Notamacropus eugenii: one gene and its partners. The protein of the gene in region 1 interacts with the protein of each later gene in a pairwise test. Links are inferred from orthologs where the notes say so. Each region holds a gene or a part of one and is shown on either strand. Other genes may lie near its edges.

Region 1 (7,411 bases):
CCATGTGAACATTTGAGGTGGATACTCCAAATTTGCACATCCTACTTTTCTTTTGTGCTGTTTCAATTCTGCTTTGTTCTAAGAGCACAGCACCCTTTCTGATGTGGGCACGCCATGCTGAGCGGTCCTGTGCCAGTGTCTCCCATGTTGCACAGTCAAATCCAAAATGCTTGAGAGAGACCTTGAGAGTGTCTTTGTACCGCTTCTTCTGACCACTACATGATCTCCTGCCCCATGCGAGTTCTCCGTAAAATAGTCTTTTTGGCAAGCATACATTTTGCATTTGAACAACATGACCAGCCTGTCCGAGTTGAATTCTCCGAAACATAGTTTGAATACTTGGCACTTCAGCTCCGGCAAGGACTTCAGTGTTTGGTACCTTATCCTGCCAGGTGATCCTCAGAATCTTCCTAAGTCAGTTCAAATGAAAGCGATTCAGTTTCCTGGCATGGCGCTGGTAGGCTGTCCATGTTTCACAAGCATATAACAATGAGGTCAGCATACCTCTGTAGACCTTCAGTTTGGTAGTCAGGCTAATACCTCTTCTCTCCCAAACTTTTCTTTGGAGCCTCTCAAACACGGAGCTAGCTCTGGCAATGAGTCTGTCAACCTCAATATCAATGTGTACATCCCTGGGAAGTACACCACCAAGGTAAGTGAACTTATCCACAGTACTCAAGACTTCTCCATTTGTTGTAACCAATAGTACCACATATAGATGGTGTGGTGGCGGCTGATGAAGTACCTGTTTTCTTGGTGTTTGCCAGGCCTAGAGGCCTGTGTGGGCTACCCGAGTCTTCTTACCTCACCTCCGAGGTCTTCAGTTGGCCAAAACCGGATGCTCATATGAGAGAAAGGACGTTCCAGAGTCGAACAAGGGTTGAGCTTTATTTCAGGGTCTAGTTACAAGTGCAGGGGGGTCTTCCTTAGGAGGAAGAGGGGGAGATTTCCTAAGGAGGCTAAGATCTTAAGGGATTGGAAGTAGAAGTACAAGCGGGGAGAGAGGGGGAGGGGAGAGAGAAGAGAAGAGAAGCGGAGCCTACTGTCCTCTTGGCTCCTCACGTGCTAAGAGAGCTTTCAGGCTTCCTCAATCCTACTTAACTCTCCAGCAGCATAGTTTGCATCTAAATACCATGCTGTTAGATAACAATAGTGTGCCCAGATCCGGGACCATCTCGAGGGCGGGGAGATCTCTCTCCCATCACGTTTCTCATGGGGAGAGGCGGAAATACCCGAGCTAGCTCGGTTCACCTCTATTCCCTGCCGTTTCCTGGGAGGGTCTCGTGAGAGCTCTAAGATTTAGAAGCTCCCACCTTTACCCGCCCGAGACTGTCCACACGGAATTGAGCTTCCAATCCCAACAGGTGTTAATTATTAGGCCAAAATTAGCACAGGCAGCAGAGAATTGATCCATACTTTGGTACACTCAAGGTCTACTGTATTTTGTGTTGTCTCTAAGTGTGCACATGTTCCATGTGCCAGTGGTGAGTGGAATCATCTTTGCAGATGTTTTTGTACATTTTGTACATTTTTTTATGTTTTCACCGCAGAGTAGGATTCCCTGCCTGCCGTGGTGATCAGGCCAAGGTTGGATAAGCAGACAATTTTTAGGGCACCTTTTCTACCCTCCTTCGTCACACCAGGAGGTGAGCAGTGAGATCCTTAAAAGACTGCTCAGACACCAGGAGGCTGCCAAGTCCCACTGCTGCTTCCAGTGAGAAACGACCCTACAGCCTGGGCCGCCTGTGTGCAGGGTTGTGACTATAGCTCCCAGCAGCACCTCCTGCTTAATCACTTGCCTGTCGCCACAGGAATTTGAGGTATAATAGTAAAATAGTAAGGGTGATATCTTTTGATTCATGTGTAAATTGGATTTAAGTGAGGCAGAGTTGCACAGAGTTGTCAGACTCACTCTCTCCTCCAGAGTCATCATAGTCCAGTGGCAGGACAGTATCAAGATGACTAGCAATGGTTCAGGATACAATGGATGACCTTGGTGTCTTTGGTGTCTAACCAAGCTCTAAGTGCTCCACATTGCCTGCTTGAACTGCCTTCGTGGCTGTTGGAACAAATTGTTCTCATCCGCCCAATCCACCAGGGGAAGTCTTCACATGTTTGGGATAGACACCCCCCTAACTCACCAATGGGTTTGAGACCCCTTTGGCTACCTTCAATGAAAGGTTTATAGACAGGTGAATGCCAGATCAAGTGGGAAGATTCAAGGAGAGTTCAAGGGGGCTCCCAGAGCCTATACCCCATCAGAATGATGCCCAGAAAGTTATAAAAGGAGTGCATACCCCACAATTCAGCTGTACCACCACTAGGCCTATATCTTAAATAGCTCAGCAAGAGAGAGAGTGGAAAGGGACCTAATTATATAAGAATATTTAGACTGGATCTAGTAGCCAAAAATTGGAAACTAAGAGATTTTCCTCCTATGGGGGGGAAAATTATGGTATTTGACTGTAACAGAATATTATTGTGCCATAAGAAATGAGAATTTGATAATTTCAGTGGAAAACTGAGATGACATCTATGAACAGATGCACTACTGGAAAAACAACTTATACAATGCCACCGTTATAAAGAGAAGACCCCAAAATTTTACATCCTGCTGAATCTCAAACTGTAGTACAAAGCAATAATCATTAAAATAATTTGGTCATGGTTTAAAACAGGAGAAATCAAACAGTGAAATAGCTTGCGTACACAACACAGAGAAGAAAATAAACATAGTAGCATTGTTTAGGAAAAACCCAAAGACGGGATGAACTGATGGACTTTAAAAAGCAGAAACAAACACTTTTCAAGAATGGCCAACGTGGGAATTTATTTTGTACACGTATGAAGACAGTTTTATTTACTTATTTTTTTGCTCAGTAGGGCAAGAATGGGAAGGGCAGATTACCAGTTCGTGTAAGTATGCATGTGCATATATATATATGTGCGTGTGTGCATATAATGTATTTTTTTTTAAAGAAAGGTGAAATGGACAGACCAAGACAAGCACAGGCAAGAGTTAATTGAGAATCTGGGAGCGTCTTTATTAGCCGGCAGCTGTCCTCTAAGGGGGCAGCCCTGAACAAAGGTGTGTGTGCCTTTTAAGCATCTTAGCACCTCTGGGTACAGCTTTGTGGTTCCAAGAGCTCACATTTTTCACAGAACAGTTTTGACAGGGGTTCCTAGGTACTGCTAGGCAAGTGGATGCAACAGAGAGGGGGGCCCAGGCAGCTGCTAGGCAAAGGGGTACAACAGAGATGGGGGCCCAGGAAGCTGCTAGGCAAAGGGGTACAACAGAGAGGGGGGCCCAGGCAGCTGCTAGGCAAAGGGGTACAACAGAGATGGGGGCGCAGGCAGCTGCTAGGCAAAGGGGTACAACAGAAAGTGTAGCCACTAACAGTAAGTGGCTACTAGGCCCAACCCTGCCTAGAAACTCAACAGACATTTCTCAACCCAGGGGCTCTGGAGCCGGGGGGAATAATGTCCATTTCAAAAGGAAGTAGAAAGCAGCTTGGGCTGGGGTAGCCTTGGTACTCCTTTTTTTACTTGACCAGTTGTGTTTGTCCTTCTGGAAGAGGACCTTGACATCAAGGTGATGACACGCCTTGCAATTGACTTTGATTTGAGGGAGGCAGGGCTGTGCAAGGTCACCAGCCTCACTTTCTCCTCCTGAGCCATCTGGGTCCAGTGGCCTGACATTCATCAGGACAGCTGGAGATGGCCCAGGATGCACTGGGAGACCCTGGCCCTTTCAGGCTAAGGCCTTACCACATTCTCACTTTGGGTGAGACACACCCATTCAATGAATGCGCTTCTTTAAGTAGTTGCTCAAGGGATGGTCCCTTTAATAAAAAAAAAAACCAAAAACAAACTGGGAGAAGACCCTCGGGGTTCCTAGGTAAAAGAGAAACAGTTACTATTTATTCAGTACTATTTAGCATTTGGCCAGTGGAGGGAGGGAATGCAAGGGCGAAGCGTGGCAGGCTGTGTGAGCTGCAAGGTAGAGAGCCAGGGGCGGGGGCCACCCGCGTGGGTGAGTTGGTGAATCCAAAGAAAAAGGTGTGGGGTTATTATGGAGCCTTCCCAGCCATCCCAGGTCTTTCTTGGTCTTCTTTCTTCAACTCTGAGCCCAGGCTCAGCCCCCAGCCCCCAGCCCCGCAGGACCTCAGCCCCCTGCCCCCAGCCTCCATCCCCAGCTTCCCGGGGAAGCCCCAGAAAGTGGAGCTAGAGGAGGGGGCCTGGTCAGAGGGAGACCGTGGGGAAGTCGGTGAGGGGCTGGGGGCTCGGGGGGAGGGGCAGAGGCGTCTCGGGCCGCCACGTGATCCTCATCACTTAGGAATGCGGTGATGTCACTGGGGGCGTGGCTCTCCCCCAAATTGATGTTGAAGAAAAAAGAGAAGGCAGAAAAAGTTTCTTCTGTCTCGGAGCCGGAGCCAGAGCCGGGGTGGAGACCAGAGAAGGGGGCCACCTCCGTGGGCGCCGGAGGAACGCCACCGCGGAGTTCCCACGCGCTCCTCCACTCGTGGCGAGAGCCGCCTTGCCTGCCATGTCCGGCCCCACCTGGCTCCCCCCAAAGCAGCCGGAGCAGAGCAGGCTCCCCCAGGCACGAGCTCTCGTGCGGGGCACTCCCGGCCCCTCGGCCCACGGAGCAGGTAACGGGCACGTCCAGCCCAGGACCCAGGGAGTGGAGGGTGCCCGATGCCCCCCTGGTCCTCGCTTCCTCCGGGCCCGCTGCTTCCCTTGCTTTTCCTACGCCCCTGCTGCAGACCCTCGTGCCCCACCCCCACCCGCCCCAGCAGGTCTCGCTGCTTCCCAGTTCCTTTCTCTTAGCACCTGGGCTGTGCAGACAGGAAGCCTCGGGGAGCAGTGAATCGGCCCCACGCCCTCCCTCCCTTGTTCCTGGAACCCTGCTTTTCTCTTCCCCTTTCCTGGTCTTCCTCCTCTAACCAGCGCCCTAAGCCCACTTCGTGTCTAGGCAGTTCCTACCATTTCCCAACAGAGCAAGGCTATCAGGGCTCAGGCCGACCAGAAGAACTGGCACCAGCCTTGGGGAGATGCCCCGGAGCCTCCCAAAGCATACAGGTGGGAAGTCGAAGGATTTTGAGGTGGGGGCTGTATGTTTGGGTTCCCAGGAAAAGGGTCCAGAAACTTCCTCATTTCTTCTTGACCACAGGGGCTTCGGCCAGACAGGGGAGCCGTACACCTAGGAAGTCTGGATGCAGAGATAGATTCACTGACCAACATGTTGGCTGACCTGGACAGCAGTAGGGGCCATGCCCCATGTCGTCCAGACAGACAGGTGACTCCCTCCCAGAATCCTCCTCTTTTGCCTCTGCAATAACATACCCTTGGAAAACAGAAAGATCTTTTCCCCTATAACTTCTACAAGATGTCAAATCCCCTAACCTTTTCCATTCCAGGGCTTTTGGGTTGTGTCATAATATATGAGCATGAAAGAAGTCCAAGTTGTCAAGGTAGATCCCACTCATCCTATGGTATCTTTATTTCTTTTTAGGCATGCGAGCCCCTTCGGCCCCCTCCCTACCGTTCAGGTTTCCTGAAACCAGGTGGAGGAGTGACCACTCCACCAAGGGTTCCAGCCCCATCTTATGGGGGCCCTACCCCTGCCTCCTATACCACAGCCAGCACTCCAGTTGGCCCTGCCTTCCCGGTCCAGGTGAAGGTGGCTCAGCCTGTGAGGGGGTATGGTCAGTCCTGGCGGGGTGTCCCTCAGGCCTCTAGCCCACCCCCAGCTCCTTACCCTCCTTCAACCAGTTGGGCTGAGTCTTGGGGGGGTTCCTATGAGGGGCACAGAGAGCTCAGGGCCAAAGAGGAGAATGTTGGAGCCTCTGGCCCAAGAGGAGGAAGAAGAACAGGAGGATATATACCTAAGGTGAGGAGGATGTATACCCAAGGTGAGCCAGGAAGACTGGCCATTGATGGGAAATGGGTGGGAGTGATTCTACAGTAGGGGTGGCAAAACCCCTTAAAGGAAAGTTGGGTGGCTAGGAGAGAGGAAAGAGGCCACTCAAGGGACCAAGGTGGCCTGGGTTCTTCCATTTTCTTTGGCTATTGTGTTTGAAGATGAGAGAGACCGTGCAGTTGGTTCTCATGGGAGGAACCCTGGATTTGGGGCTAAAGGACCCAAATGTGAGCTCCAGCTCTTTAACACTTACTGAGTGATTAAGCAAATCCCCTCACTCCAACTTCCTCCTCTTTTACAATGAAGATAATCATACGCCTTATCTACCTTAGGAAATTCTAAAGTGCTATTCATTGTAAACTGTTCTTTATTATTATGTGGTTCTCTGCAATACATAGCTCCTCCTTCTTGGAGATTTGGGGGCAGGACAGGGGACAGAGGGGATTGAGTCTCATTCTGGTCCCCTTTTCCCATGCCCCCTAGCAGGCTGCCCCCAGCAGGGCTCCCCCTGAGGAAGAGCTGGAGAGACTAACCAAGAAGCTGGTACATGACATGAACCATCCACCCAGTGGGGAATACTTTGGTGAGCCAGGTTCTAAACATCTGCATTTTTTTGAGGGGGGTGCAGGGATGTTCTGGTACTCTCTAGACTAAAATTGAATCTCTCTTCTTTCTTCCCTTCTCCCCCTCCCCACTCCCTGCCTTGCTCCTTAGGCCGATGTGGGGGCTGTGGGGAGGACGTGGTAGGGGATGGTGCTGGGGTTATTGCCCTCGATCGTGTCTTCCATGTTGGCTGCTTCGTCTGCTCCACATGCCGGGCTCAGCTCCGGGGCCAGCACTTCTATGCAGTGGAGAGAAAGGCGTATTGTGAAGGCTGCTATGTGGTAAGTGACAGGAAGCCAAGGTTCAGAGTGAAGGAAGATTTGGGATCGGAAAGAATTGCCAAGCTAGGGAAGTAGATAATTTAGTCCATAAGGGCAGCTGGGTCTGAATGTGGACTATGCCAGGTAAGGTACATGTCTTCAGATTATTCCCTATAGGGTTTGAGACTCAGTTGAGTGTCAAGATGTCGGGAGGCTGGGGATCCAGACATTTGGGTTCTGGCAGGGAGTTTGACTGGAAAGTTGACTGTGGGACTTCTTCAACAGGCTACTTTGGAGAAGTGTTCCATGTGCTCCCAGCCTATCTTGGACCGGATTCTACGGGCCATGGGGAAGGCCTATCACCCTGGCTGCTTTACTTGTGTTGTGTGTCACCAAGGTCTTGATGGCATTCCTTTCACAGTGGATGCCACCAGCCAGATCCACTGTATTGAAGACTTCCACAGGTCCTGATGATCCCTGCTCACTCAGCCTTTCCTTCTCTGTGGTCTTAACAACTCCATTCCCCTATCTCCATTCCCCCAAATCTTTACCCCATTCATAGGGATCATAGAAATCATATAGTGTCAGAAGAAACTTGAGAAGCCACCTGGTCCAACCTTTCATT
Region 2 (7,014 bases), on another chromosome or scaffold:
ATCTTCAGAGTTTTTTAAGCAGCAAAGGATAAGTCACTTGTAACAGTAACTGGGAAATTAAAAGCTACTATATAGAAACACAGGGCTTATTGGTGTGGTTCTATCATGTATGCAAATCACTATCTAAGTCATTTAGGTCTCATTCAAGACTTCGAATATTTCCATACTTAGGAATTGCTAAAATCTACACCACAAACCAACAGAGATAAAAAGCAACACAAACAATGACACCCATTTATAAACAATCTGATATTTAAAATGTTTCAGAGTCCTAAAGATACCAAGGACTCACAGAGGAACAATGAAAAAGAAATATTGGAAAATTAGAAAACAAGGAGATCAGTGATAATTGAGCTCCAGCTTTGCTGACTACCAAGGATAAAAAGAATCAAATACCTGAAATAATATTTAAGACAACATTTGACCCTGTTGTCACTGATTTAATCAATATTCAGAGATATCCAAAAGTTAGAAGACACAAAATTCTTTAAATCACAAATTAGTGTATGGTGTTTATCCCACAAGGGTCAACAGAGAACAATATGCTCATTTAAGAGTGAAAAAAGAAAATACTAAAACAAAATAACGACATGAACTATTAAAATTGTTTGTAAACATTGGGTTAGTTGGTGGTAAAAGAGACTGGTAAGTTTAACTGGTCAGTTTCACTGACATGGGTTACAATTCAAGTAAACCCTCAGCTTAGGAAAACATTTTTAGGTTTTCATTTTATTCTAACCTCAAGGGCCTATGGCCCAAAGATGAAAACTAAGAAAAAGTTTGAAGGGAGTCCCCTAGAGGAAGTGAAACTGACCAATCAATTCTCTCCCAGCTATACACCCTGGAGAGGAAGGGCTCTTGTATTCTTTGACAGGAAAAAGAAAAAAAAAGGAACTTCAAGGTTGCAAGGGAGTTAGAGAAAAAAGGCCCAGATAAATCACTAATTCCTGAAAATAAATGTTCTCACTACAATAATAAGTAGAGAGAAAAGATAAGTGATAAGAGCCTAAGGGGTTGGAGGAAAAACTAGGCTTTGGCAGAAGAGTCAGCAGCCATGGGGGTTCTGATCAAGTCACAAGTCAAACTTGAGAAAAATAACAAACAGAATGAATGTGTGCATTCAAAAGACCACAAGAAATCAGAAAATTTGGACCGTAGGTTCTATCAGCTGCGTGATCTTAGGCAAATCATTTTGGTCTCTTTGAGTCTCAGTTTCCTCACTTCTAATATTAAGGAGTTGGCCTAGATTCAGGATCGTTAACCTTTTTGTGTGTGTGTCATGGACCCCTTGTCAGTCCGGACCTTCTCACAAAGCCTTTAAATTCGTAAAATCAAATACACTGTCTCACAAGGGAAACCAATTATACTGAAATACGATTTTAAATATATTAAAAGTTTTAACTTCACAGATCTCCTAAAATCTATCCACAGACCCCTTGGGAATTCATGGACCCAAGGATAAGAACTCCTGGCCTATATTATCGAAAAGGTTATTTCACATGCTGAAATTATCTGCAGCAGAAAATTCAAGTGAGAATGACCCAGGAAAATGAGGACCTGGGAGACTGAGAGCCTCAGAGAAAAACAACAGGCTGTTTCCTGGCAACAGAAAAGATGGAGTTGGTAAGCTCTATCAAATTCAAAAAAATCCACCTGATTTCAGATTCAAACAATGCCCAAGAGAGGAGGCTGCAGGAAGGTGCTGCTCCTCCTTTCTCCAAGAGAGAAAAGACGAGGGGATAAACAACCAACAACAACCTAGGGAGGTGTTACCTGCAACACCAATACCTCTGTTCCTACAAATATCCAGATGCCTTGGTCTTGGTGAAAGAATACTTTCCCCTACCAATACGCACCTCAACCCCAAAGCCTATCCTCTCCAAGATTTCCTTTCCCATTCGCCCTGTAGAATCTTTCCTCTTCAAATTCCACCGCTATCTTCCCAGGCACAATCTCCTAGGGAAATCAAGAACCTCCAGAGTGCCATTTCCACGTTCCCTATCCCTGTGCTCTTCAGGAAGTGGTCACCCCCTTTCCAGACTGGTACAGCTAGGTCCGTCTCTAAGCAGTGCTTGACATCCACAAGCTGCTGACACTTGGGGTCTCCCCAAACCTGTGATCCCCGGAATCCAACCAACCATTCCCATGCCATCCCAGATTCAGCGTCGTCTGTTCCCCAATCTCCCAGCGCACGGACGATCCCCCGATCCCCACCACGACGAGGTCCAGGTTGTCCAGGGTCTCCGTCTCCCCCGCAACCGCTTTTCAGGCTGGAAGGACCCCAGCACGGCCCCGGGGCCCCCCGGGCGCGATCTCCCCATTTCCTACTTGCCCATGGTCCTCATCTCCTCCCGGCCCCGGCCGCCCGGGGGTCCTCCAGCCCCTCGCCCGCAGGGCTGCCCAGGCTCCTCTGGGCTCCCTTGCGGACGCGTCCGCCGGCCCCCCGGGCTTCCCCGCTTCCTGGTCCCCAGTGACTTCCCCCTAGCTTCCCTGCAGCCGCTGTCTCTCTCCGTGCCTCGCCCCCTCCCCCCCCGGCCGGGGGCGCCCCTGCTGCCCCCCGAGCCGGCGCCTGCCCTTGGCACCTCCGGCCGCCCGCCGCCCCTGCCCCCGCCGGGTCCTCGCCGCTCCCCGCTCGCTCCGCCAACATTCGCTGGCCGGCAGCCCCCGCCGGCCCGGCCCGGCAGCACGCCCCGCACGGCCCCGCGCCGCTCGCTACCTTGGCCTTGGTGACGAGGTGCGTGGCCCGCTTGACCACGGCGAAGTTGCCCTTGCCGATGGTGCGGTCGATCTCGTAGTAGCCGATGCGAGCGGGCATCGGCCCGCGGGGGGCCGGGGCTGGGGGGCGCGGGGTGCCGGCCGAGGGCACCGGGGCGGGCGCGGCCGGGGGTCCGGCAGCGGGCGGGGGCAGCAGGCGGGCAGCCGGACCGACTCCCCCGGCCCCGGCCCCCGCAGCCCCGCCAGCTCCGCTTGCCGCCGCCGCCGCCATCTTGTTGTGCAGAGAAACCTCCGGGACCGCGGGGAGCCGGGAGGGGGGCAAGGGGGCGGGAAAGGAGGGGGAAGCGGGGAAGACGTCACTGGGGAGGCGGGGCGCCCGCGCCGCCCGGCGCCCGGCGCCATGGCAACCGCGCGTCACGTGCCGATTCGCGTCACTGCCCGGATCCATGGCAACCGTGACGTCACCGCCGCGCTCTGGCTCCCCGCGTGGGCCCAGGTTTGCCGGGCTCCGGCTCCCAAGCGCCCTCCTCTGGGGCCGACGCTGCGGCTGCCCGGAGCGTGCTAGCCAAGTTCGAGTTACCAGTGCGGCCTGGCCACGTGACCAGTCTCTCCCAAAAGACCTCCCTCAGCCCCTCCCAGACCCCACCGCTCTTGTTGAAATTGTACCCGAGTTTGACCCTAGTTACCACCCTCTCCTCCACGTGTGCCCTAGATTTCATCAGGGCCCTGCTGAGGCTTCCCCGAGTGATGCACCGTCCGCGGAGGTTACACACCTTGGCCACTCGACTAGCCGTGTGACCGTGGGCAACTTATTTCAGCTCTCAGAGCCTCAGTTTCCTCATCGGTAAAATACGGGAGCTGGAAGAGGTGACCTCTAAGTTCCCTTCCTGTTCTAAAAATTCTGTTTCTCCTCCAGTGACTCACGACCCACTCACTCCTTAACCCCCTTAGCAATCTCACTACCGCCCCCACCACTCTGCTGAAACTGCTTCTTTGAGGTCACCCATGACCTAATTGCCAAATCCAATTACCTTTCCTCCGAGTGAACCGCATGATGGAATGGAAAGGGCTCTGTCACTTTAACAGCTTTGTGACCTTGAGAAAGTAACTGCCTCATCTCATCCTGTTTTTTCATCGGTAAAAGGAGGAATATCTTCAAGGTTCCTTCCATGTTCTACACTAGCTCATTCATCTCTGCATGACTTGATTCTTGAAACTGAGACCTTAACTTGGAAAGACCAAGGTCCCCCTTAACATCCTGGGCCATCTCCAGTTGTCCTGATCTTTGTGGGGCCACTTGACCCAGATGACTCTGGAGGAAAAAGTGAGGCTGGTGACTGTGCACAGCCTGCCTCACTTAAATCCAATTCATCTGCATGTCATGGCATCACCTCCCCGATGTCGTGGTCTTCTTCCAGAATGAAGAAAAAACAATAAAAGCAATTACAAACAATTTGACACCATTTGACCATTATTCCCTGAAATTCCCCTCCCCCCTTAACTTCAAGAGCTGGCTCCTTCTCCTTCTCCTAACCCCTAAATGAGTATATTCTCCCAAGACCCTCCCTACTTCTCCTTTTCCATGATTTTATTTGTTTAAAGGTTTCAATTACACCTTCTGTGGTATATGACTCCTCCTTTGTCTATAGTTTAACCTCTCTCCTCAACTATATAACCTCACATTTTCTACAAAACACCTCTACTTTGTGGTCCCACTGCCATTTCAGGTTCAAAATGTCCAAAACCAAAGGCATCATCTTCCTTAGGAAACCACATCCTTTAATGGCATGATCAAACTCTTCAGCAGGAGACTCTAAACCATTCTTCACTGGGCCTCACAACTAATCACTTGCCAAGTTCTGTCAATTTCACTTCTGCTGTGTATCTCATGTCTGTTGCCCTTTTCCAGTACTCCTGTCATCACCCAAGCTAGACCTTCATTATCTCTCACCTGGACTGTCACAACTGGATCCTAACTGGTCTCCCTACAAACGATGTCTCCTTCCTTTGAGTCATCCTGTGCCCAGATGCCAGAGTGATACTTTCTAAAGTACAGTTCTGATCATGTAACGCTCTTCAGACCTGACCATATTCCTTCAAGAGTTTGCTAGCTCATCTTCTTCAGTTCAAATCTGGCCTCAGACACTTATTTAGCTGTGTGACCCTGGGCAAATCATTTAACCCTGTTTACCTCAGGTTCCTCATCTATAAAATGAGCTGGAGAAGAAAATGACAAACCACTCCAGTATCTTTGCCGAGAAAACCCCAAGATGGGGTTGAAAACAACTCAATAACAACAAAGCAAGGTAATTACTACACAAGGAAATGAAATTGTGAGATACTGGGGGTTAACAAAACCTGTATGAAGAAGAACCAGGATTTCCCTGTTTCCTTTTCCTTGGCCACGAGAGAGACTTCCCATTGACCATCCAGGAACAGAGAGCCACTGCAACTAGACATGTTCCTGAGCAGTGGCTGGTTTTGGTCATTAGAATCCTAGGTTGTCATGTGAGAAACAGGAAACAGTAAGCTGCTGAGGTCAAGTTAAGCCTCTGAGACCAGTCTCCTGGGAGGTGCTGGCAGTCTTAGCAGCTGCTGCTCCTTCTTCTGCGCCTCCTTTTCCTCCTCCTCCTTCTTCTTCCTCCTATCATGCCTATTTATTGAATAAACAGAGGACAAGACTATCCTCCAGGACCTCCTTCTACACTCACTCACCAATCATGGCCTGAATTCACTATTTTTTTTTCCTAAACATTAGCTTCTAAACTCTCTGACATCTAGCTTCTGACTTCATCATGCAAATGAAACCACCTTCTCTCTCCAAAGTTACCAAAGTCTCTTAACTGCCAAAGAAAGAGGTCTCAACTTTCTCGATTGCTTTGTAACATTCCACATTAACTACCTTTTTTTTCCCCTATATATTCTCTCATCTCCAGGTTTTTATGAGACTTCTCAGTTCTTCTACTACCTATCTGACCCTTTGTCAGTCTCCTTTGCTGGATTTGCATCTAAGTCAAGCCCATTATGTGTGTCCCCCAAGTTTCTTTCTTGGACCCTCCTTTTTTTCTCTCTATGGTCTCTTACTTGGTGATCACATTAATTTCATGGATTCATTTATCTCTATGCAGAGGAGTCTCAGATCTGCATATCCAGTTCTAGTCTCTCTCCTAACCCTACATTACCAAATACTTTATTGGTATTTCAAGCTAGGTATCCATAGAAATCTCAGATTCAACATGTCCAAAACAAAACTCATTCTCTTTCTCACAAAACCCAGCCTTCTTATAAACTTCCTTATTACTAGCAAGGGCATCATCATCCTTCCAGTTCCTCAGGCTCATAATCTTGGAATCATCCTTGACTCCTCACTCTTGCTCTGCATTTCCAATCAGGTGCCAAATTATGTAATATCCTTCTCAAAATCTCTCTCATGTGTCTTCTCTCCACTAATACAGCATCCCCCTTGGTACAGGTTGTTGTCACTTCTCATCTAGACTACTGCAATGACCTTCTAATTGGATTCTATCTCAAGTCTCTCCCTACTCCAGTCCATCCTGCACATAGCTGCTGAAATGATTTTCCTAAAGCATAGGTCTGACTATATAGATACCTTCTTCCCCACTCAATCACCCCCAATGGCTTCGTGGTGTGGTACCTTTAGAATCAAATGTAAAGAAGTTTGTTTAGCATTATGAAGCCATTCACAACCCAGTCCCTTCCTTTATTTCTTACTCATTACTCCCCTCCATGAACTGGACAGTTCACCCAAATTAACCAACTTGCTGTGGCTCACACAAAAACTCCATCTCCCATCTATATGACTTTGGACTATTTGTATCCCATCCCTGGAATTCTCTCCTTCTCCTAACCTCTGCCCTTTAGAATTCCTAGCTTCTTTTAAGATTCAGATCAGGTTCCACTTCTGCAAGTGACCTTTCCTGGTTCTCCCTCACCCCTAGTTGCTAATGCCTTCCCTCTAAGGCTGCCTTCCATCTATTCTATTTATACATACCAAATTATGAATCTGTGGAGCGCAAAACCTTGCATTTACACTCCTAACCCACAAAGATGCTAAGGTGGCACAGTGGATAGAGTGCTGGGCCTGAAGTCAGGAAAATTCATCTTCCTGAGTTCAAATCTGGCCTCAGACACTTATTAGCCATGTGACTTTTATCCTGTTTGCCTCAGTTTCCTCATCTGTAAAATTAGCTGGAAAGAGAAATGGCAAACCACTCCATTATCTTTGCCAAGAAAACCCCACATGTATATGGTCATGAAGAGTCAGAAACGATTGAAAAA
Region 3 (7,309 bases), about 440 Mb from region 1:
AGGCTGCAACACGGGTCTTCTGTCTTCTGACTCCCAGGTGTTACATTTCCCACTAAAACCATGCTGGCTCTCAAAAGCTGGCTAGACCTTTCCAGCAAACTGCCTTCAAACCACTTAGAGGCAGCTTCAGAATCCCCCTTGCCATCCTGATTATCATAGAACTTTGCATGCTCAAAGTAACCTCAGAAGGCCTTTATTTCAACCCTCATCTATCCCCATATGACTCCACTAAAGACCTCTGGTTTCACACAAATGAAGGATGATTGAGGCCTGTGGTGTGCTGGTAAATGTTAACAGCCAGCTCCCCGCCCCACCCCAAAAGAAAACATTCACACGATACACTTTTAGAATTAGAATTCATTACACTGAAAACAGCTCACTCCATTTTGAGTCAACTTACTGGAACAGTGGAAGCAAGGTTTTCTTTGTGGGGCTGATGTTTCCTTGCTTGTACCTGCCCCTGTTGCTTTTCTCCTGACTCATGCAGAATAAATCACACTCCTCTTCTGTACCACAGCCTGAAGACAGCTAGCTGTCTCAGTCCCTGAGTGGCCAGGATACTAACTCCTTCAGCAGGCCACAGACAGAGTTTATGGAAATGGGAGGATGCTACTGCTGCCTGGAGGAGAACAGAACCTTGCAGGCCAGGTCTTTGGGACCTTACACAGGGAGGCTGTCCCTGTCTTTGGAATAATGTTATCTTCTTAGGAATTAGTGCCGTCAGTGTCACCTCCAACCTCATTCTCACTCACCAAACTATACTCACCCCTACACAAAATTACTATGGATTCATTTTGTACATTTTTTATTTACTTTTTTACATAGATTGTATTTCCCTTCCCACCAGAATGTAAACTTTATGAGGACAAGGAACTGTCTTACACCTTTGTGTTCAAGACTTGCACACAGCAGATGCTTAATAAATGCATCTAGAAGGAAAGACAGTAGGGGGGAAATTTAAAGCAGTACTAGATTTATATTATAATAATGGTCCTATCATACTCTAAATAAGAATAATAAGGCTTTTTGCATTTTATAAAAAAGTGTTTTCCATACACTATCTTGTTGGAGCCTGAAGACCACTAGGTGCACTAGTTACTCTAAGTTTTGTTAACTCCATTTTACAGAAGAGGAAACTAAGGCTAAAAGAGATTGACTTGTTCATTTTAATCCAGCTAAGAAGTGCCAGAGTTGGGATTTGAACGCAAAGCTCCTTCTTAAGACTAGCAGTAGTAACTCCGGCATCTACTGGGTCAAGGTGCCTCTGTGATCCCAGCGAGCTACCACGTAGCGATGCCACCAGCTATGCACTCTGCCATAGCCCTCTCTCCCCACAGTATGCCAGTGCCCGGCCTGGGAGGGACAAGCATTTCTCATCCCACACGGAGGAGGGAGAAAACGAAGGCAGAAGGATGGGGCGGGCAGAGCCCTGTCCGGTGTTCCCAGCCAGGAGCCAGAGCTGCGGCTGGATTGGCATCCAGATCTCCCAGCAGCCCAGGGAGGGACAAGGGCCGGCCTAAGGTCATCCAGGACCAGAAGCTTTGCTTCACTTGCTGCCCAGGATCCTGGCTCCAGGTGGGAGAGACCCGACACCAACGGGTACAACCTCTTCCTTTCACAGAGTGAAAAATAGAGGACGTTCACGCAGCAGAGTTAGGAGGTGAACCTGGGACCAAAGACCATGGTGCCTAAGCACTTAACACAGGGGAGCCCCACCCTAGGAAGAGGGGGAGTGCCCCGAGAAGCCCCAGAGCAGCCAGGCCCCTCTCAAGGTCACGCAGGTAGCCAGAGGCAGGGCTGGGGCCCGAGCCAAAACCTCCGAGACAGGTGTGGGAGGGGCGGGGAGGACCCGAGTGACCCAGCCCCGACCACGCCCCCGCAGCGCCCCGCTCCCGCTCCCGCTCCCCCTCCCCCTAGACAGCTGGGCTACGAAAGGGCGCGCAGCCTCTGCCCTGGGAGAGGATCGCCCCCACCGCCTCCTCCCTAGACAGGTGTACACTGCGTGGGGCGCACAGGTGACCCCCCTCCAGCCCTGCACCCGGCCCTGGGGGAGGGCCGACCCCACAGCCCCCTCCCCCGACAGGTGTACACTGCCTGGGGCGCACAGGTGACCCCCCTCCCCCGCCCAGTCTTGGCTCCGGGGCAGGATCGCCCCCACCGCCTCTTCCCCAGTCAGGCGTACACAGGGAGGGGCGCACAGGTGACGCCCCCAGCCTCTGCCCTGGGAGAGGATCGCCCCCACCGCCTCCTCCCTAGACAGGTGTACACTGCGTGGGGCGCACAGGTGACCCCCCTCCAGCCCTGCACCCGGCCCTGGGGGAGGGCCGACCCCACAGCCCCCTCCCCCGACAGGTGTACACTGCCTGGGGCGCACAGGTGACCCCCCTCCCCCGCCCAGTCTTGGCTCCGGGGCAGGATCGCCCCCACCGCCTCTTCCCCAGTCAGGCGTACACAGGGAGGGGCGCACAGGTGACGCCCCCAGCCTCTGCCCTGGGAGAGGATCGCCCCCACCGCCTCCTCCCTAGACAGGTGTACACTGCGTGGGGCGCACAGGTGACCCCCCTCCAGCCCTGCACCCGGCCCTGGGGGAGGGCCGACCCCACAGCCCCCTCCCCCGACAGTGTACACTGAGTGGGACGCACAGGTGACCCCCCCCCAGTCTTGGCTCCGGGGCAGGATGGCCCCCACCGCCCCCTCCCCCGGACAGGTGTACACAGGGAGGGGCGCACAGGTGACCCCCAACCCCGCACCCGGCCCGGGGGGGAGGACGCCCCTGTGCCCCCCCCGCCCAGGCGCGCCCCCCACTCAACTCTTGACTTTGCCGAAGGTGCCGACCCCCAGCGTGTCGCCCAGCACGTAGTGGCCGATCTTCACGCGCCCGTCGTGCTTCGGCTTCTCCGCCATGGTCCGCCCGCCAGCCCGGCCCAGCCCGGCCCCTCCTCCGCACGGCCGAGCCCCGGCCCGGCCCCAGCCGCCGCCTCCGAAGCCGAAGCCGCAGCCGCCCCGCGGAGCTGCCCCGAGTGGCCGCCGCCGCCGGGCTGCTGTCTACCCACAGTGCCGCGGGAGCGGGGAGGGGGCGGGGGGGAGAGGGGCGAGGAACCCCGAGGGGAGGGGCGAGGGAGCCGGAGACCTGCGCCGGGAGGGGAGGGGGAGCGCGAACTGTCAGGAGGAGGGAGGGAGGCCGCGCGAGGCGGGGAGCGGGCGGGGGGAGCGAGGAGGGAGGAAGACCCGGAGGGATACAAAGTATCCAATAAATAACCAAGCGAGTCCGCCGCTTCCCCGCACCTCGCTCCGCAGCGCGGTCTGTTAGGATCCTGGAACGGAGGCAGCCCTCGCCGGGGACCCCTGGCCTGTGCCTTCAGGGATCTGGGGGGGGTTTACATTCCCAGTTCTGACACCTCCTGCCCCAAGTCCTGTCTGGTGCTAATTTGGGCAGAATCCTCCCAGGAGCTCCTGGAAATCCAGGCATTTACCGAAGGATGCTGTCTTTGCATAGAATTGTGAGAAAAAAGTGAGTTACAGAAGTGGGGTCCTCGCTGCCCCTTCAATACCAAGGTCATGTGAGGGAAGGGGCGGGCAGGTAGAGAGAGTGAGTGCTAAAACCGAGCTCCTTGGGATCCTAGATGACTCTGTATTTTGTGGAAATTGTTGAGGCTAAATCAGATACTAATAAAGTTTGTGTGGAGGGGCCTTAATGTCACTGAGCAGATGACATTAATTAATAGAAATTCCCTTTCTGGAAATGGGACTCAGGTCTCTAAACTGGCCTTTCAGGGAAGGAACTAAATAAAGGGTCCCCAAAGCCTTAGCATGGCTATAAAGGCTATTAGAGCTTTGGGATCACCTCTATTTATTCATAAGAAAGGATGTAACAGGAGCTTGTTGAAAAGCAGCAAATAGATGCGGTGTCTAAGTGTTTTCCAAACCTTTAAGTTTATTCTTGTGTGTGGTGGAAGCAGAGCCCATCTCATAAGCTGATAGATGGTCATTGTTGCTTATTGTACCCAGAAAGATCATTTCAGAATCACTCTCCCTTCATTGCTATGGAGAGAAAACAGGTAGTTCACATTTTTCTGTTGTGATAAATGAGCTTTTCTTTGGCTAAGGCTCACTCCTCCAGGACTCCAGAAAGGGAAGAGTGGACTGGTCCTTCCCCTTGCTCATAGACAATAGGGTCTTTTTTGAAAGGTCATGACAATTTGTTAGTTAATATTCCTGTACTGCCTGTACTGTGTTTACCAAATAGTCAAATGATCATTTTGTGTTGACTCCCTTTCTTGAAGCTCTACCACAACAAAGAATCTAAAGCATATCATTTAATTGCTTTATATTAATTATTAACTAATTATGACAGCTGAAATGATTAAACACCTCTATTATGACTGGGATCATTATAGGCATAACTTTAAAGGATAAAGGATTCAGAAAGGTGAGAGAAAGTTCATATTAAAGAGTCTTGACCACTGAAGGTCTAGTCCAGGGATGGAGAACCTTTGGCCTCTGGGCCACATGTGACCTTCTAGATCCTCAAGGTTGGCCATTTGACTGAACCCAAATTCCGCAGAACAAATCTCCGTAATAAAGGAATGTTCTGTAAAATTTGGACTCCATCAAAAGTCTGCACTTGAGGACCGAGAAGGCCATATGTGGCCTAGAGGCTGCAGGTTCCCCACCCCTGGTCTAATCTGACCCCTTTCTGTTAAAAGCCTGAAGAGGGAGAATTATTTGCCCAAGGTCACACTGCTGTTAAGAGACGGAACAAGACTCAAACTGTCTCTTTGGAGACTCTTTGACTCCAAAGGCCAGGGCCATCTTTCTAATACTCCACATATCCAGCCCAACTGTACAAGCCTCTTCTATAACACCCAATAGCTTGCTGAGTACCATCTCTGATGAGGCAGCTGACAACTTCATGAGGCTAGTCCATCAGAGAACAATCACATTCCAGAAGATCATTGGGTGACCAATCAATTACCCAACAGTTATTAAATTCCTCTGATGTGCCAGGTGCTGGAAATGCAAAGACCCCTCCCCTCTCAAAAAAAGAATCCCAGTCTCTGCCCTTAAGGTTCTTCTGTTTGAAGAAAACATATACTAAATAAATACGCTGTAATCCTGGGTAAGGGAAGGTACTGACAACTTAGAGAATCAGAAGAGACTTCTGTAGACCAAGCTTTAAGACAGCTAGAGATTCCAATAGAAGTGAGGATAGAGGACATTCCAAGCATGGAGCACAGCCAGGGCAAAGCCTTGGAGATGGGAAACAGAGTGTTATGAGTAAAGCAGAGCAGAAGGCCCAATTTTACTGCACCAGAGACCATGGTTAAATATAAAAAGACTTTGAAAAAGTAGACTAAAGTCAGATTGTGAAGAGAATTAGTCACATGAAGGAAGGCTTATTTGAATTCTAAGGCAATAGAGAGAGAGCACTGGAGCTTCTTGAGCACAGGAGTATCGAAGTCAGATCTGTGCTTACATTCAAACATTCAAACATTCAAAGGAGAATGCAGAGACTTGAGGCAGGGAAACTCATTATGTTATAATCAGTAGCCAAGGTCAGAGGGGATGAGGTCAATAGAGAGATGAAGAGAGATTGTAGAGATAGAAACTTCAACCTCAAATTCAATGAAATAATATCTCCACAAAGCCTTTAGCTCAGTGCCTGGCACATGGAAGGCCCAAGACACATGCTTATGCCCTTCCCTTCTCCCAACCTCCCACACTTCCCTTTCTCAGGAAGCCTGTTTCTTTACTGAGAAAATTAGGTCTACACAAAGTGAGCTCTCTCTCTCTCTCTCTTATCCATTATTGTCATCTCAGATCCCTTGGCTGTCATCTATTTCCCACTCTCCCCCACTTTGCCCTAGTCTCTGACAAAGAGGTCTTGGCTCTTTTTTTTTTTTTTTTGGCCAAAGCCAACCCCTCTACATGTGTCCCCAGTGAAACCCCTGGGCCCCATTCTCCAACATCCTTAATCACCCCCTTCTCTCACAAACCTTCAACTTCTTTTACCTGTCGGGACTGCCTTCAAATATATCATATAGTCTTCCTCATCCTTAAAAAAAAAAAACCACACAACTCTTCACTGAAAACTACCATCCCCTGAATTATCTTCCTGTATCTCGTCTTCTTTCTTGGTCAAATACCTTGAAAAAGCTGGTTACCTTCCCTGAATGAAGAAGCTCCTTTCCCACTCTCTTCTCCACCCTTTACCAGCTGGCATCCATCCTCATCACTCAGATGAAACTGCTCTCTCCAAAGTTCCCCAAGATCTCTTAAGTGCCAATTCTGTTGTAGTGGAATTTTGGTTTTTGTTTGTATTTTTTCCCAATTCTCATCCTTCTTGACCTATCTGCTGAATGTGACACTGTTGACTGTCTTCTCCTCCTGGATGCTCCATCCTCTGGATTTTCCTGACACTGACTGAAGAGCCCTTCTCAGTCCTTTACAAGTTTATTCATTAACTGTGGGTATTTCAAAAGGTTCTATTTTAAATTCTTGTCACTCTTTTTTCACTTTTCACTCCTTCAGCTCCATTGATTTAACTGTCATCTCCACTCAGAGGACTCCAAGAACTACATTTCCAGTCCAAGTCTCTCCCCTGAGCCTCTGTCCCCCTATACCAATTTCCCATTGGACATTTCAAATTGTATGTCCTGGAGACATTTTAATCTCCACGTATCCCAAATTGAAGTTATTATATTTCCTCCAAAACCCTCCACTCTTACAAATTTCCCCAATTTTGTCAAAGTACCACCATTCTTCCAGTCTTCCAGGTCCACATTACCCTTAACTTGTCCCTTACCCTTACCTCACATAGCCAATAATTTCCCAGATCTTGCTATTTCTACCTCTAAGCACCCAGCTTCCACTTCAGTTCTCATCACCAGGATGATGGCACCTACCTCCTAATTGGTCTCCCTCCCTAAGTGTCTCCTATTCTAGTCTATCCTACTTAGTGCTGCCAAAGTGACTTTCCTTAATTGCAGATCTAATCATATGATCCCTCTACTCATTCCACCCCATTGTCTCTAGGATCTAATAGAAAACCCACCACTTAGTTTTCAAAGTCCTATACAATCTGGGCCTCAACTTATGTTTCCAGATTCACTGGACATTACTCTTCCTCCTGCACTCTTGGATCCAGACAACTGGGCCTGCTTTCTCACTCTCACAGATAGGACAATCCATCTTCCTACTCTTCATCTTCATCCCATTCACCAACCTGGAAAGGGATGCCTTCTTTCCTTCCCTTTACCTCCCAGAATCCTTCTCTTTAAGATACAGCTCAACTACCACAAATCCTTTC
Region 4 (7,612 bases), about 23 Mb from region 1:
TTACAAGACAGGTAAGGCACAAATTATTATTTGCTTCTTCTGGAGAGAAATTTTCTTTCCATTTACTAGAGCCCTATTAAGGTGCTCCCTTATTGAAGATCTTATAGTGCCTGGGTCCTCTGGCCACAGGACCTATAGTATCTGAATCTCAGAACATGCAAGCCCTAGACATCTATAAGGGGGTGGGGGGGAGATTAAGTATTTATATATAAAGTATTATGTGCCAGGCACTGTGCTTTCTAAAAACATTATCTCATTTGGTCTTCAAAACAACCCTGAGAAGTAGGTCCTATTACTATTCCTACTTTACAATTGAGGAAACTGAGGCAAACAGGCAAAGTTACTTGTCCAAGGTAACATAGCTAGTTTGTGAGACTGGATTTGAACTTGGGTCTTCCTGATTCCAGGAAGAAGTTATCTGAATAGGAGGGAGAGAAAATCACCCCCAAACCGTCAGTCTGCTGAAATTGCACCCTCTTGTTTTATCAGTTTCTCATAAACAGAGCTATAAAGTACACTAAAGATAATTTAATTCAAGTTAGATATAATTTGTAACACTGTTCCAAATGGGAAAATTTGAGATTGGTAATATTGTTTCACATGAGCAAATAATTTTTTCTAGGTCACACAATGACGGTAATGGAGCTGGGATTTGACTTCAGATCTACTCCAAATCAAGTGCTCTTTCCATTACATTACACAATATAAATCATAAGGAAATACTTTGTTTTCTAAATCAATCCAATTCATAACAGTAACAAATATACTTTTAGACTATTTCTGCTCTGAAACAGACCTTGCCTATGCCAAACTGTCTCCCACAATTTCTGGGCAACCTACCTGACACCTCCATGAACCCTTTTGCCCTGCAGAGAGAGAGAGAGATCAGGACTGTTACCTACTGAAACTTGCCAGGCAAGATGATCAAAGGTCCTTTTGAGTGATAATATGATAATAGAAAGAGCACAGGCCAGGGAAACAGGAGCCTGGGGTTTGAGTTCTTGCCCTTACTAGCTGTATAGACTTTAGGCAAGTTACTTTTTTTCTCTAGGCCTCAGTTTCTGCCTTTGTTGAGATGAGTTGAAGGCCTTCCAACTTTAACATTCTACGTTTCATATTCTAACACTTTAAGTTCTAAAGTTCCTTTTAGCCCTATAATTTTATGTTGTTTTCTGGCATTCCATGTTCTAAGGTACCTTTTAGCTCCATCTTTCCATCTCCAACATTACAAGTTCTGTGTTCTAACATTCTGTGTTCTGCTGACAATCCTAACAGTTCTGTGCTCCAATGTTCTTTGGCTAAAGGTGTCAATTATGTCCGTGGCCACAACCAAGTAAAATGTAATTAGGAAACATTTAGCAAAATAAATAAAATTATTTTTAAAAAAATCCACAGATATCATTACATTTTAAAATTTGATTTAGTAGGTAGCCCATAGGGATCCTTATCAATGGTTCAGTGGCCCCCTTTCTGTTTGAGTTTGACATTACTGTTTTAAGGTACATTCCAGTCCTAGCATTATATTGCCTTATGGTCTAACATTCTATGTTTTGAGGTCTCTTCCAGCTCTGCCATTCTATATTTGTTCTAACATTCTAGGTTCTCAGTTCCTTTCCAGCTCTGCCATTCTTGGTCCGTTCTAACAGTCTAGGTTCTCAGTTCCCTTCCAGCTCTACCATTCTTGGTCCGTTCTAACAGTCTATGTTCTCAGGTCCCTTCCAGCTCTGCCAATCTTGGTCCGTTCTAACAGTCTAGGTTCTCAGGTCCCTTCCAGCTCTGCCATTCTTGGTCCATTCTAACAGTCTAGGTTCTCAGGTCCCTTCCAGCTCTGCCATTCTTGGTCCATTCTAACAGTCTAGGTTCTCAGGTCCCTTCCAGCTCTGCTATTCTAGGTCCGTTCTAACATTCTAGGTTCTCAGGTCCCTCCCAGCTCTGCCATTCTAGGTCTGTTCTGACATTCTAGGTTCTCAGGTCCCTCCCAGCTCTGCCATTCTAGGTCCGTTCTAACATTCTAGGTTCTCAGGTCCCTCCCAGCTCTGCCATTCTTGGTCCGTTCTAACAGTCTAGGTTCTCAGTTCCCTTCCAGCTCTACCATTCTTGGTCCGTTCTAACAGTCTATGTTCTCAGGTCCCTTCCAGCTCTGCCAATCTTGGTCCGTTCTAACATTCTAGGTTCTCAGGTCCCTCCCAGCTCTGCCATTCTAGGTCTGTTCTAACATTCTAGGTTCTCAGGTCCCTCCCAGCTCTGCCATTCTAGGTCTGTTCTGACATTCTAGGTTCTCAGGTCCCTCCCAGCTCTGCCATTCTAGGTCTGTTCTGACATTCTAGGTTCTCAGGTCCCTCCCAGCTCTGCCATTCTAGGTCTGTTCTGACATTCTAGGTTCTCAGGTCCCTCCCAGCTCTGCCATTCACCTAGGTCTGTTCTAACATTCTGTGATTTAAGGCCCCTCCCGCCCTGACAACCCTTGCTCTGCTCCATCCTCAGGCTGGCTCCGAGGCCCCTCCAGTCTCCAAGCCTCCCGGCCCCTTCCCTGGCAGGGAAGCGATTCAGCTCCGAGACCTGAAGAATGGAGAAGGCCGGCCCGCTGGACGCCGGTCCTTGCGCTCACCCTGCTCAGGCCAAGCCGGGCTGGGAGATCCCGGGGAGGGGGAGGGGTGGGGGTCCTCCGTGGAGGAGGGGGGCGGGGGTGTGCCGCCCCAGCCCTCGGGGCTGCCCTCAGGGATGCCTGCAAGGACGGGCGGGGGGCGGGGACGGGTCCCTCCCCCCTCCGCGGTCTCGGAGCCCAGGCCCGGCTCCTCCACAACTCAAGGCCGAGGGCAGCTCCCCGAGGGCGGAGAGGAAGAGGAGGAGGGGGCGGCCCGGGCCCGGCGCGCCCCGGACTCACATCGCCCCGCCGTCCAGGCGGAGCCAGGGGCCCCACTCCCGGCTCCTGGGTCGGGTCGGGTCGGCTCCGGTTCCAGCGCCGGCCCCAGAGCGGAGGCCTCCCCGCCCCGCCCTGCTCCGCCTCTCCCCTCCCCTCCCTTCGCAGCTGCAGCCGCCGCCGCCGCCGCCGCCGCCGCCGCTGCCGCAGCCTCCGGGGTCAGAGGTCGCCCTGACCGTACCAACGAGACGCGAGCAGCAGGCCCAGGGCGCAGAGAGCAGAGCGTAGTCTGGAAGGTCTCCCTCTAGAGGACGTGGCTGCTGCTGCAAGGAGCGAAGACGCAAGGGGCCGCCAGAGGGCGCTCGAGGCTGAGCCAATCAGCATTCATTAACAAAGGCATAATAACTATCCGTATAATGTCTTAAGGCTGGTGAAATGCTTTACACATATGACTTTATAATCACAGCAGAGCAAGGGCTGTCAGGGCAGGAGAGGACCTCACACCATATTCACAACAACCCCGGAACAGAGCAGTGCCATTATTATTCCCATTTTACAAAGAAGAAAAATGAGGCAAAGGGGAAGTGACTTGCCTAGGGTCACAAAGATGGGGAGGCACTGAGGGTTGGGGGGAGGGGCATAGGAAATACCCGGGAAAGGCCCCCTGCTGGCATTTGATATGAGTCTTAAAGGAAGCCAGGAGGCAAAGGGAAGCATCCCAGGCGTGTGGGAAATCAATGATTAGCTATAGGGATGGAGTGTAGGATGAGAAGAAAGTTAAAGTATGCCAGTGTTGAGGTCAGAGTTGGGACAGCTGGTTCAGATTTGAAAGGGTTCACTTAGACCTTCTCTGTAGCCATTGGGAGCTTTATTGACGCAAAAGCAGCAGAGTCTGAGATTAACAAAGAGCTAAACAAAGGCAGTGATACAGGAAAAGAACCAGACTTATATAGAGAAGAAGTTATATAGCCTGTAGGATGGTGATGTAATTTTTAGGGTTTCTAATGCGGGTTAGAGATTTAGGGACAGGATGAGGAAGATGGATGACACAAGATAAGGGAGACAGGAGAAATTTTATGATCCAGGATGGGGGAAGACAAGGAATTTTATAGTCCAGGATAAGTGGGAAGTTTTATGGTATTTCAAGATAAGGGTGAATGGGAACAGATTTAGTGAAGACTTCTCAGGAATATGGAGTCTTCTCTCTGGAGTGGAAGAGACCTTGGGCCCAGGTTTCCCTTCCTCCAGAGTCAGGTGATTTCCATATAAGGCTATGTGTTGCTTTAGGATCAATGATTGGATATGACTCACTAACTCCTCAATACCTAATTTGCATATGCGCAGGCAGTCTGCAGTCCTCACACAGGTCCACCTGATTTGCATAAGTTCTCAATGCCCAATTTGTATGAGTTGTCAATGCATCATTTGCATATATTATCAATGCCTAATTTGCATATAATGATGTGTATTTTCACAGGCTTTGTAACGTCCAGGAGTGGGAAATTTGAACTGGGTTTCAAAAGGGATTGGTTAGATTTCGTGCCTAGAATGTAAGACCTTACTTCTCAGCCAATGAGAATAATAGTCAGTGGTGGGAGGGGAATTTTCACGTCAGCATCTATATAAATTTGCCATTCTGCTTCTGTAAGGCTCCTTCCTACTCCTGCTTTACTGATGAAGGTACCTCCTGGTTTCTCACAAGAACGGAATAAAGGAGATTTTTCTGTTTTTACCTTGAGATGCCTCTGAGTCGTCAATTTGAGTAAAGGGGTTCGTGCTTTCCCACACACACAAGGGGAAGAGACTTTAGGATGCCCTCAAACTTAGGAGCGGCCTCTCAAAGTACTGAAAACTCAACCCTTAATATTAACCCTTAGGCCACCTTTGTATCCATATCACCAGCATTGCTGGATTCTGGAGAGGGATAAAACATGAGAAGATTGGAATGGACAGGTTCTGAAGGGCTTTAAATGCCCAAGGTAGGACTTTATATTCAATACTGGAGGCAATAGAGAGTATGTAATAATATATAATAATAGGGATGCATGGGGTGTTCAGGGAAGACTAGCACCTTTAGTGTGAGGACCTACTAAGCCTTTTTCAGGCTATTCATGCATCTTTGGTATTCATCTGTCTCACTAACTCTCCCCTGTGGCTCCAGGAAGCTGTGCCATGCCCAGTGATCACACCCCCCAGTAAAATGGTCTGAGTAGACAGGCTAAACCAGGTTGAAAGTAACTGACAGGCCTCGAAGCCACTGGTGAATTAGAAGGATATCTACCTCAAGTATATGAAGACTTCCCAAGGTAGGCTGTGAGGATGAGAACAGTTTTTATAACAGACATGAAAGCAGCTGAAGCAGGCACTGTGGGGTGCTTAGAGCTTGGTCAGACATTGAAGACACCAAGGTCATCCACTGCATCCCAGGCCATTGCCAGTTGTCCTGACTTCTGCCTTGGCACTGGACTTTGATTACTCTGGAAGAGAGAGTGAGATGGAGAATTGTGCAATTCTGCCTTACTTAAATCCAAGTCAAGTCATCGCCCCATGTGGTCATTAGTCCTTTTCAAAAATGAATAATGAACATTAATAAACAGGTACTAGAGTAAACTGAGTTGGGACAGAATTCCATTTTAGGAAAATATTGGCAGCTAAGGAGAGGATAGATTGGAGTGGGGAGAGACCCAGGGCAGTGAGCGCCCAAGGTTGAGGTGACAGCTATGTGAACAAAGAGAAGGGGACTATAGAAGAGGTGCAGTGAAGGTAGAAATTACAGGGTTTTACAACTGATGTAGAATGAGAAAGTAAGTTATCTACAAGAAGCAGCTGATCAGCGGTATCAAATGTTGCAGAGAACTCAAGAGATAAAGATGAAAAAAGGAAGTCAAATGTGTCAATTAAGAAGTCATTTGTAACTTTGAAGAAAACAATTTTTACTTCAGCAGAGAGACACGCATAGGGAGAAGAATAAGAGCCTGAGAAACTGAGATTCTAGGGTTCTGGATGAAAAAAAGGGGAATTTGAAAGAAGGATGGATTTAGGAATGTGGAAACAAACTAAATCCCACCCACCCACCCTTTTGTGTGTGTCCGTCCTTCGTTGCTAGAGAACACCATGCCATCAGAGAAATAATGACACGACTTGCACTTGACTTTGTTTTGAGTGAGGGAGGGCTGTGCAGGTCACCAGCCTCACTTCTCCTCCAGAGCCATCTGAATTCAGTGACCAGATATTCATCAGGATGACTGGAGATGACCCAGGATGAGGCAATTGGAGTTAAGTGACTTGCTCAAGGTCACACAGCTAGTGAGTGTCAAGTGTCTGAGGTGAGATTTGAACTCAGGTCCTCTTGACTCCTGCACTGGTGCTCTACCCACTGCACCACCTAGCTGCCCCGGAGAAGGAAGTTTAAAGAAAGAAAACCTAGAGAGATCAAGATAACTGTCTTCAAGTGTTTGAAGGTCTATCACATGAAAGAGAAATTAGATTTTTTTTCTGCTTTACCCCAGAGAACAGAACTCAGAGTTACAAAGAGGTACATTTAAGCTTGATGTAAAGAAAAATTTCCTAATATTGAAAGCTATCCCAAAATGGAATGGGCTACCTTGGGAGAATTAGAGCTGGAAAATACCTAGGAACCCATCTGACTTAACCCCTTCAATTTATATATAAGGAGGCAAGCAAAAATAAAATGGCCACCTATGACTTTCTTTCTAGTACTAAGATTCTATGATCTGCTCTTTCCTCCTGATCTAGTATCTTCCTAAACACCCATCTTCCCAATAGGTCATTTAAGTAGGTCAGGACTTCTTAGGAGCTTCTGTCTGCCACTATTCTACCAATTTTTTCCTTTGCCTCTGAAAAGTAGTTGTTGACATAGAAGGTCCTTGTGCTACATGTACATTGTGGCGGGGGAGGGCGGGGGGCTTGTTGGGGGTTTGTCCTTAGAACTATTAAGAAAGCAGTTTTATTCTGCCTTTGAACTAATCTGGATAAGAAACACTTATCACAGATTTCCTGCCAATTCAAAACAATGTCTGGCACAGAAATCCTTTCTGTTCATTCTAATCTACTCCCAGGTCCCTGTCTTCTAATCAACCTAATAAGGAGTCATCTAGAAAGTGGTTAAGTGATTAGGGTTATGATACCTAAATCAGGGATTAAGAAAAAGACAGTCTTTTATTACTTCAGTCAGTGATGAATCTTGGATTCACAAAGTCGAAAGGAGAATTCTTGGAGGGAGTGGTTCAAAAGAGATTGAATGGTTTTAGAAAAATGAATGTCTAGGGTAGCAGTTCTCAAAAGATGATGGGGAGCCCCAGGAGGTCCCTAAGACCTTCTCAAAGGGTCCATGAGATCAAAACTAATTTTGTAATAGCAGCTAGTCAGTAAGCATCTATTGTTATTGTTGTTCATTTGTTTCAGTCATGTCCAACTTTTTGTGACTCCTTTTTAGGTTTTCTTGACAAAGATGCTGAAGTGGTGTACTATTTTACAGATGAGGAAACTGAACCAAAGAGGGCTAAGTGACTTGCCCAGTGTCAGACTGCTAGTAAGTGTCTGAGGACAGATTTGAACTCAGTATGAATCCCTGACTTTAGGCCCAGAGATCTATGTGCTATGCCTTCACCTAGTTGCTCAAGCATTTATGTTTTTTAAATATTAATTTATTTATTTTAGTCAACATTCATTTCCACAAGATTTTGAGTTCCAAAATTTTCACCAACTCTCCCCTCCCCCTCACCCCAAGAT

Evidence for each region.
Region 2: the proteins of TRIP6 (region 1) and SIK3 interact in binary tests that used the Homo sapiens proteins (3 or more experiments, as listed by UniProt). The two-hybrid records come from large-scale screens. The link is inferred for Notamacropus eugenii from reciprocal best matches to the Homo sapiens genes TRIP6 and SIK3.
Region 3: the proteins of TRIP6 (region 1) and PRKAA2 interact in binary tests that used the Homo sapiens proteins (3 or more experiments, as listed by UniProt). The link is inferred for Notamacropus eugenii from reciprocal best matches to the Homo sapiens genes TRIP6 and PRKAA2.
Region 4: the proteins of TRIP6 (region 1) and FRS3 interact in binary tests that used the Homo sapiens proteins (3 or more experiments, as listed by UniProt). The two-hybrid records come from large-scale screens. The link is inferred for Notamacropus eugenii from reciprocal best matches to the Homo sapiens genes TRIP6 and FRS3.

Annotation. Positions count from the first base shown.
Region 1 is NC_092873.1:79,910,886-79,918,296, reverse strand, and holds the start of TRIP6 (thyroid receptor-interacting protein 6), read left to right. Parts: upstream 1-4,408; 5' UTR 4,409-4,546; coding exon 4,547-4,652; intron 4,653-4,999; coding exon 5,000-5,082; intron 5,083-5,173; coding exon 5,174-5,299; intron 5,300-5,515; coding exon 5,516-5,893; intron 5,894-6,406; coding exon 6,407-6,506; intron 6,507-6,637; coding exon 6,638-6,807; intron 6,808-7,071; coding exon 7,072-7,250; intron 7,251-7,411. UniProt on the Homo sapiens protein: Relays signals from the cell surface to the nucleus to weaken adherens junction and promote actin cytoskeleton reorganization and cell invasiveness. Involved in lysophosphatidic acid-induced cell adhesion and migration.
Region 2 is NC_092876.1:135,012,644-135,019,657, reverse strand, and holds the start of SIK3 (serine/threonine-protein kinase SIK3), read right to left. Parts: upstream 3,002-7,014; 5' UTR 2,987-3,001; coding exon 2,717-2,986; intron 1-2,716. UniProt on the Homo sapiens protein: Positive regulator of mTOR signaling that functions by triggering the degradation of DEPTOR, an mTOR inhibitor. Involved in the dynamic regulation of mTOR signaling in chondrocyte differentiation during skeletogenesis.
Region 3 is NC_092873.1:516,705,551-516,712,859, reverse strand, and holds the start of PRKAA2 (5'-AMP-activated protein kinase catalytic subunit alpha-2), read right to left. Parts: upstream 3,002-7,309; 5' UTR 2,905-3,001; coding exon 2,811-2,904; intron 1-2,810. UniProt on the Homo sapiens protein: Catalytic subunit of AMP-activated protein kinase (AMPK), an energy sensor protein kinase that plays a key role in regulating cellular energy metabolism.
Region 4 is NC_092873.1:102,751,481-102,759,092, forward strand, and holds the start of FRS3 (fibroblast growth factor receptor substrate 3), read right to left. Parts: upstream 3,002-7,612; 5' UTR 2,609-3,001; intron 2,603-2,608; exon of another isoform or gene 1-2,602. UniProt on the Homo sapiens protein: Adapter protein that links FGF and NGF receptors to downstream signaling pathways. Involved in the activation of MAP kinases. Down-regulates ERK2 signaling by interfering with the phosphorylation and nuclear translocation of ERK2.